Linked DNA regions of Oryzias latipes. The protein of the gene in region 2 purifies or fractionates together with the protein of the main gene of each other region. This does not show direct contact. Links are inferred from orthologs where the notes say so. Each region holds a gene or a part of one and is shown on either strand. Other genes may lie near its edges. The genes, in order: pdlim7 and bag3.

Region 1 (3,819 bases), on a different chromosome or scaffold from region 2:
GTTATAAATAAACATCAACATCTTATAACATCAATAAAGAAAAAGACTGTTTTCTCGTATATTTTTAATAGTCCTCATCTAAATTAAGCGTAGAAAATCCAATTAGTGTCTCACATACCTCACTTGATTTGCTTTTCAAATCTCAGAATTGTTATGTGATGTAATTGTGCTAACAGCTTTTAATGAGACAAAACTCAACATCTTAAAAAACTGACAAAAGTGATGGCACAGCAACTATAAAAAAAATAAAAAACAAAACTTGAAAAACCTGCGGTCGTTCTCTCAAAATAAGTTCAAAAAAGAAAAGGTGTTGAAATGTAAAAGAAGAGACTCTTGGCAGGCAGTAGTAAGGTGAACAAGATAACACAGCTTTTCTCTTATTACTTACGAGGATCAAAAAAATCAAAATGAGTCCCATAAAAGCAGCAAGCTCATCTTTATTGCTCTAACAAGTCGATACCTTCTCATTTTCTGAAGGTTTTAGGCCCTTGAATGATTACATTTTTATCTCTCTTTGGGCCTAAAATCTTTTTTTATGTCCACACTGCAGATGAAACATTTCCTCTAGTCTTCAGAGAGACTTTATAAAAAGTATTTGCAGACTAATGTGTGCAAATTCTGCCGACGGGCATGCAGTCTGCTGCAAATTATTTTCTTACTGAATTTAAAAAAAAGTGCTTTTATGAGAAATTGCGTGTCCTTTTTGTGTGTTTCTGGTGCTTTTTCAGGATGTGAGGTTTTCTTTTGGAATAGTTTAGATTAAAAGAACAGAAGGTCAGCACACAGAGCCACCAGGAGCTGCTGTGGAAAAGAAGACAAATACTAGAGCTGGATGTAGAGATGAAATTGTGTGCATGCCTCAGTTAATAGCTTTTAATAAATCACTAGTTGTGCTTGACTTACACCTCAGACAATTATTAAACTGTGTTTTAAACACAGATTCCAGCTATATTTGAACTTTTTGTTGCATATTAAACCAGAGTGATGAGTTGTCAGAGTTTGTTCCTCTGGTAAAATGTAGGTTTTTTTTTATAAACCTGCAAAGGTCAAATGCTATAATTCAAACCATCTTTTAGTCCTTAACACCTCAAATAATTTTTCATATTTAAAATGAAAACCAGCCATTTCAAAGCTGATTTAATTGGATGCAAGTTTGTTTTACATTTGCCATAAAAAATATATTAAAGATGACTAAAGTGTAAGCTTAACCTGCTAATGTAAATGTTCCTGCACCTTTAGAATCAACAGAGGGAAATAATCAAATTAAACAAAAATTAAATCACTAAAATAATACAAAATAAAACAGAAGGCAATCTTAAACAAATCAGCACTTATGAAAACAAATGCTGTGCCCGTTTGAAAGAAGAAAAAAAAGGTTAAAATAATATTTTTTTTGTATTTTTGCTAGGCTTGTACAATTATTCACAAATTTATCATTATCGCGATTTCAGGCTGTGCAATATCCATATGGCAAAAGTCAGCAAAAATCACGATAAATGGTAAACCTTAAATGTGCTAAAACAATCTTATGGCAACTTGAACTCTTCAATGAATATAATAAATCCCTGTATGCATTTAACCAATCAGATGGAGCCCTTCACGTTGTTGACCAATCAGGTGGAGCTTTTATGTTAGATTTTCCCCTGCTAATTAAACAAAGGTCATTTGGAGAATAATCTAAGGTATTTTGACTCCTATTTAAATTAAACTTTTGCAGTGAAATGGAAATGTTTTTGTTGTTTTTGCCATTTGTTCGTTAAACGCAAGTTATATCGTCTCTGCAGTATTGATCACCAATATCGCATATTGCGAGTTTTCTTCATATCGTGCAGCCCTAATTTTTGCAATAATCTGTCAACGTAAAGCAAACTTGAAAGTTCCCTCAGTCTCATAAAAAGTGCCAGTGAGTGTTTTTTGAATATTTAGATTGTTGTGAGTCCATGGGAGGAATGAGAAATCCTGTTCCGGCTTACCTGCTGAGGGTGAGGGTGAGGGAGTCTGTTGCTGCTCTAATCTTGTTCTGTGCCTCCACATGAGTCATGTCTTCAGCATTGGCATCACAGATCGAAACCACCCAGTCTCCCACCCCGACTCCAGCCTGAGCCGCCTTTCCACCTGGAGTCAGCTGTGGAGGACAAAGATGCAGAAGTGATTTAGTGGGAGAAGATTATTAACAGAGTTATGAAATGAAACCCATATGACGGAGAAGCAACTTCAGCAGGTCAGAAAAAACATATAGGTAGCCGATAACGCAAAAAATGAATAAACAAGAATACATTTTTTTAAAACACGTAGATAAAATCTATTTATTACCAAGTAAAAAAAACTTTGTCTTTCCAGCAGATCTGGTGTGATTGTTACAGCTTAAAATAATAACTTATTCAAATCAGTACTTGTATCCCCCACTTTCTCACCTCTCTTCCTTTTACTCTCCCCCCCCCCCCCCCCCCCTCACATTCTTCCCCTCTCCCTCCCCACACACACTGAATTTAACAAATAAATAAAAAATAATACAACAAAAAGGGGTTTATACAAATCTACACCCTGGTTTCTCGAAGCTATATAACCTCTTTTTGTGATAGTAAAACCTGTCCAACACAAAAAGCCTTCAGCTCTAATCTGTTTGCTCAGCTGTTGGACAAAACAAGTTAAAGAAAAAAAAATCAAGTAAAAAAAAACTAATTGTGCATCTTTGCATGTTTTTTAAAGGTAATGCATCCATGTGAAAAATCCATGTTTTAATAAAAGTCATACATCAAATCAATCTTTATTTATAAAGCATTTTATGTTATAGAGTAATGCAATGTGTTTTACAGAATTAAAACATCTTTCTAAAAAGAAAAAAGGAGGACTAGGACTAGGGCTGCAGGATAGCAGAAAAACTTGCAATGTGTGATCTTAGTAGTCAATATTATTACATAATTTCCGTTTCCTTTCAACTGTTTTATTTAAATAGAAGTCAACTTAACTTAAATTATACTCCAAATGACCCACATAACATCTGATTGGTCAGCGACGTGAACGGGTCAGTCCGAATGGTCAAATCAAGAAAGGGTTTTTATTTGATTTGTTAAATACTTTAAGATCCCATGAGATCAATTTAGCATGTATGTTATAATTTGAGGTAACCATTTATCACAAAGGCTGAACTCATGATGCGATTTATTGTGCAGGCCTCGTAAGGAGTCATTTTTGGGTATATTTCTGTTTATTTTTAACTTAACTTAAGTGAAACTGAGTTTTAAGGGTTTCAATTGATCTGTAATAAATTGTAAAAGCTTTATTTTCCCAATCCTTTTTAGGTGCAATTTGATTTTAGAAAGTGTCAAAAGAAATGTGTTTTTCTTTTTTATTTGATTTATTTTGTTTGCTTATCTTATCGACAGAGATTCCTACAGAGTGTAGTAATAAGTCTCCTGTTTTTACAACGTTACCTCACAGTACCTCACATATACAGAAACACACTAAGTCATGTTCAGCTGGCTGTCTGTAACATCTGTTAGCACCCAATAATTAACAGGAGGAGCGTACCCGTCTGTTTCACTCAGCCTTTCCGCAAAACAGACATTATAAGGTCATCCTGATGTCATCCATCAACGGCAAACGATCGAGACCAGATGTGACTTAAGACTATGAAAGACGCGCTTGATAGCTGAAGAAAAGGTCCACATGTTATCGTTAGTCAGAGGCTTTACTGGAATCAAATGCATTCTCACTCATGACAGGCTGACAAAAGGATGACATCATCCCCTCACGCCGACAGGGAGGCTTGCAGGCGTGCGAGTCAGAGCTGGAGTCCTGTCGCGACAGGAGGGCCTG
Region 2 (4,423 bases):
GAACTTGTTTTTAAACACCTTTCATGTTTTAATGTTCAGCTATCGAGTTATTTTTATTCTTCTGTTTAAACTCTGCTGTAATGTCCGGACTTGATGCTGTGTGCTTTATAAAGTTAGGCTTTGTGTAGCCTGTAGAGTTCTTTTTACAGATTTTTGACTAATCAGAATAATTTTATTGTCATTGTATATGGTGATACAATGTAATTGCAGCAGCCTTGGAGTGATGAAGATAAATAAAATATGTATTTAGTGTAAAATTTAAATGTAAAGAAAAAAAATTAATTCACACGACACTAATGTGATTATCCTTATAACAACAGTATAGTAAAGGGAGAATGGATTATTTTACAATAACTCTAACCCATAAACAGTTTATCCCAGTATATATGGTGAGTCATAAACAGTCTCTGACATGACCTTATAGAGTCACAGAAAGCTTAGCCTTATCTTTATAAAGGACATTATTATTATTATTATTAAGAGTTTAACTATTAATCTAGTTAATTAATAGTTAATTAATATTAATTAATTTCTATTTGTACAATCGAGTGGACCTATACCATTATAAACTCGTGTCAAAATCAATTAAATCAATATTAGAAAATTCCATCTGGATTGAGGTAAAATTAATGGTCACACTCCTAATTATTTATTAATTTTTTCAACATGAATAATTTACTCTCCTGTTTTGCAGCATTTGACATAATTTAAACTATTTATAAATAACAATGGTTTCAAATATCAGTTTGATAATCAAACAGCTGTTTGCTGCACATATTTAGAATGACTACTTTGTATGTTTTTAAATCTTTTAAAGTTGTTTTAAAGTTTAGATCCTTCATATATGTTTAACATAATCATTAGATAGTATCCACTAGAATTTAGATTCCAAAAAGCGGCTTTAATATGAAATATTGATGAAAGCAAATGTTTGTCTGGACTGGAAAACAGAGTAATGTTATAAGCAGCTGTCTCTTTGTGGGGGGGTTGTGTTTGAACCTTTTGATTTTTCATTTTGTTTGTAGATTTTTACTCATTTTTAATGATAAAATAGAATTGGACTAGTTTATTTAGTGACCAAATCTCATTGAACATGTGTTCCTCGCCGGAGGCACGCATGTGTTTTTGAACATGTTTAGCCCCCCCCCCCCGTCTGGGCTCTGATGGAGTCGTCTCCGCTGCTCTCCGGTCCGTCGTCACGTTTCAGGTGGAGCTGCTCTCGGTAAACCCTCGTGGGGGTCTCCGGCTTGGATCTGCAGCTCCGCCCCCCCCCCCCCCCCCGCCCCCCTTGCCGCCCCCACAGTTAACCCTGCTATTTCCAGAAGCTTCCAGCCCACTTCCCCACGTCACTCCACGGAGTCTTTAAAGCGCCCGCCGCCCGTATAAAATGTCTTAGTACCGGAGCGCGAGCAGCATGAGCGCCGTGCAGACACGCGCCCCCGCGCCGACCATGGCTAACAACGACAGCGACCCCCTGCCCCTCGGCTGGGAGGTCAAAATCGACCCCCAGACCGGATGGCCGTTTTTCGTGGATCACAACAACCGAACCACAACCTGGAATGACCCGAGACACGTCGCGACAAAGGTGAAGGAGCGCGCGGGCAAAGTTGCTTCCCCGGCGGGAAGCGCTCGCGGGGAATCTGCGTTGGTTGTTTCTGCGGAACATTGTATTGTCGGTGGTAACGGCTGATCGGTCCCGCCATGTCCTCGTGTCATCATAACTATTATTACGCGATGAGTCACCCTGCAGTATGTGGCGGCCGGGACGGGGGGGCCGTTTTCACATTAAGGTCATTTTCCCAGCAGGGACCGCGGCTGGGCTGCTGTGTGTGGCGGGGGCTGCTGGGCGGGCGGTCCCGGGCAGAGGGCAAAGGGTCGTTCCGGAGGAGACACCGACGGGGTACCGATTGTTGACCGTTTTCCTCCAGGTTTTGGTCTCCTTTGGTTGGGGAGGGGGGGGGGGCATCAGACCTGTTGCTCTCTGCTCCTTCACTTCTTCCTGACATCTCGTGCTTTTATTTTTAAATTCTCTTCCTGTCTGATCGGTTTTCATGGAGGAAAATAGTTCACAGCGGTGACCTGTTCCATAAAGAACATTCAAAAAGACAAACAGTTGGTCTCCTTCAGATTAAAAGTGCTGTCCTGTGTGATGTTGGCGTGTTGGGGGTCAGAGGGGGGGGGCGCTGGGCACAGGGACACATCTTCAGGAGGCAAACTAGCAGCTGCCGGGCTGGAATGCAGAGGTTGTTCTGGCAGGGCAGCGTCACTTTTGGCTGCTGGGTGAGGAAATGTGACCCGGGACGGAGAAGGCGGAACGTGGATCTGGAGAAAGCGGAACGTGGATCTGGAGAAGGCGGAACGTGGATCTGGAGAAAGCGGAACGTGGATCTGGAGAAAGCGGAACGTGGATCTGGAGAAGGCAGAACGTGGATCTGTGGAGGATTTCCACCTGCGGCCGGACGGTCGCGAACACAGACGTCTGCACAGACGCTCACCTGACGTCAACGGCCCAAAGCACCGTTATATTTGGAAAACACACCTGGAAAACATGGAGGCAGCATGAGACGGGGGCTTTGTGAGCAGCTGTGGTGCAGAGGTAGAGCGGTTGACTCTGGATTAGGAGGTCTCGGGTTTGATTCTGGCCTTGCTCTGCCCCCATCAGAGTGTGTAAAGCACTTTAGGCTTTAGAAAAGCACTATAGAAGCACAAATACACAATTATACAAAATATCACTGATGAATCAGTGGTGGAAGTCTTAAAGTTTTTACCTGAGATTTGTGTGTGTTTTTTTAATGAATTTAAAGGTTTTTTGGTTCTAAATTCTTTCCCCTGCCTATATTTCAGAGTAGAGAAGCAAACGGACCCAACATACCTCCAGAACAACATCCTAAGGAGACCCAGAAGACCTTTACCCGAGAGATGAAGCACCCGATTCTGCGGCCCGGCTACATCCCCATCCCCGTCTTCCATGAGGGCGCAGAGCTGCGGCAGCAGCCGCCGCATCCCTGCTGTACGTACATCCAGCCAAGCACAGCGCAGAGTGTCCGGTACGAAGGTCAGGCTCCTTCGCACGCCTCCGGACTTCACGGCAGGCCCAGATCGCCGTTACACGTGGCCTCAGACAGCTGCTCCTCTGAGCCCGGGAGGGCCAGCACGCCCACGCCGCCAACCACAGAGGTACGGGTAACATTTGGGTTCTTCACTGACAGCCACCCTTGATTACAGTGGGAGTTTTCAAAATAACGCATTTCATACACGGAGGAGATTGATTGACAAGGTCAACAGCCAATCAGGATGCAGAACATAGCGAGCTGTGAAGTAAAATGGAAATTGGCTATAAAAAGGTGGCCGGCGATCTAGTGAGGGACCAGCATGAGCTGAAGCGGGTAACATTTGTGCGACCAAACGTGTTCACTGCGTTCTGACTGTGTTGCTGCTCAGGTGCACACCGCCACACACCACCAACCGTGTCGACCCGGCAGCACCGGCCTCCAGGCCGGTTACATTCCTATTCCAGTCATCCATGAGGGCGGAGGGGGTCCGCCTCAGGTAAACCCCGCCGTCTACTCTCAGCGCGCCCCCTACCAGCGCCTCCAGACAGACGAACGGCCCGCCTACTCTGCGGCGCCGTCTTCTCGGGAAAGTGCTTCCCCGACGTCGCTGTTCCCGCAGCACCGGGACGCAGCGTCTGCCCGCCTCCCACCTTCGCTTAGGAGCCAGTCCCCGACGGTATCGCAGCTGCAGGCGGACAGACCGCAGGTGGGCTTTCCGGTCTTTTCCTTTTGCCAGCGTGTCCCAGATTCTGACATAAAACTGTAACTTTGTTATTTGGATCTCAGCAGAACCTCCTCACTAGAGACCCGGCCCAGAAAGTGGAGCAGGAGCTGCAGAAAGCAGAGAACCTGCCGGTTCCTCAACCGCAGCTCACAGAGGTGGACGCTCCACATCTGGAGCAGCCTCAGTCCCAGGAGCCGCAGCATCACGTTGCAGACATCACGGTTCAAATCCCTCCAAAAGCAGAGGTTCAGGACCCAGCCGGCCCTGAAGCCCCCCCAACCAGAGCAGAGGGGGAGCAGGGCGCCGTTCACCCGGGCTTGGCGAAGGTTCAGCAGATCGTGGGACGGGTGGCTTCGCTGGAGCAGGAGGCCAAGGCTTTCAGCGGGAAGAAAAATGATAAGAAATACCTGCTGCTGGAGGAGCTGCTGACCAAAGAGCTGCTGGCTCTGGACTCTGTCGACCCGGAGGGACGCGCAGATGTGCGGCAGGCCCGGCGCGATGGAGTCCGGCGGGTTCAGACCATACTGGAGGAGCTGGAACAGCTGGAGGAGCGGCCAGCCAAGCCCACCAGTGAGACGCCGGCGGACGGTGACAGAGGAGAGTCCAAGGAACATTATGTGACGGCCAAGGAGATTTTCTGAGGAGC

Evidence for each region.
Region 1: the proteins of bag3 (region 2) and pdlim7 purify together in Homo sapiens (affinity purification with mass spectrometry; 3 studies listed by BioGRID and IntAct, counting the BioPlex papers as one, with this or other methods). This does not show direct contact. The link is inferred for Oryzias latipes from reciprocal best matches to the Homo sapiens genes BAG3 and PDLIM7.

The regions. Positions count from the first base shown.
Region 1 is NC_019868.2:19,535,092-19,538,910, forward strand, and holds part of pdlim7 (PDZ and LIM domain protein 7), read right to left. Parts: intron 2,126-3,819; coding exon 1,974-2,125; intron 1-1,973. UniProt on the Homo sapiens protein: May function as a scaffold on which the coordinated assembly of proteins can occur. May play a role as an adapter that, via its PDZ domain, localizes LIM-binding proteins to actin filaments of both skeletal muscle and nonmuscle tissues.
Region 2 is NC_019873.2:29,859,001-29,863,423, forward strand, and holds the start of bag3 (BAG family molecular chaperone regulator 3), read left to right. Parts: upstream 1-1,337; 5' UTR 1,338-1,414; coding exon 1,415-1,585; intron 1,586-2,844; coding exon 2,845-3,177; intron 3,178-3,441; coding exon 3,442-3,759; intron 3,760-3,839; coding exon 3,840-4,418; 3' UTR 4,419-4,423. UniProt on the Homo sapiens protein: Co-chaperone and adapter protein that connects different classes of molecular chaperones including heat shock proteins 70 (HSP70s), e.g. HSPA1A/HSP70 or HSPA8/HSC70, and small heat shock proteins (sHSPs), e.g. HSPB8.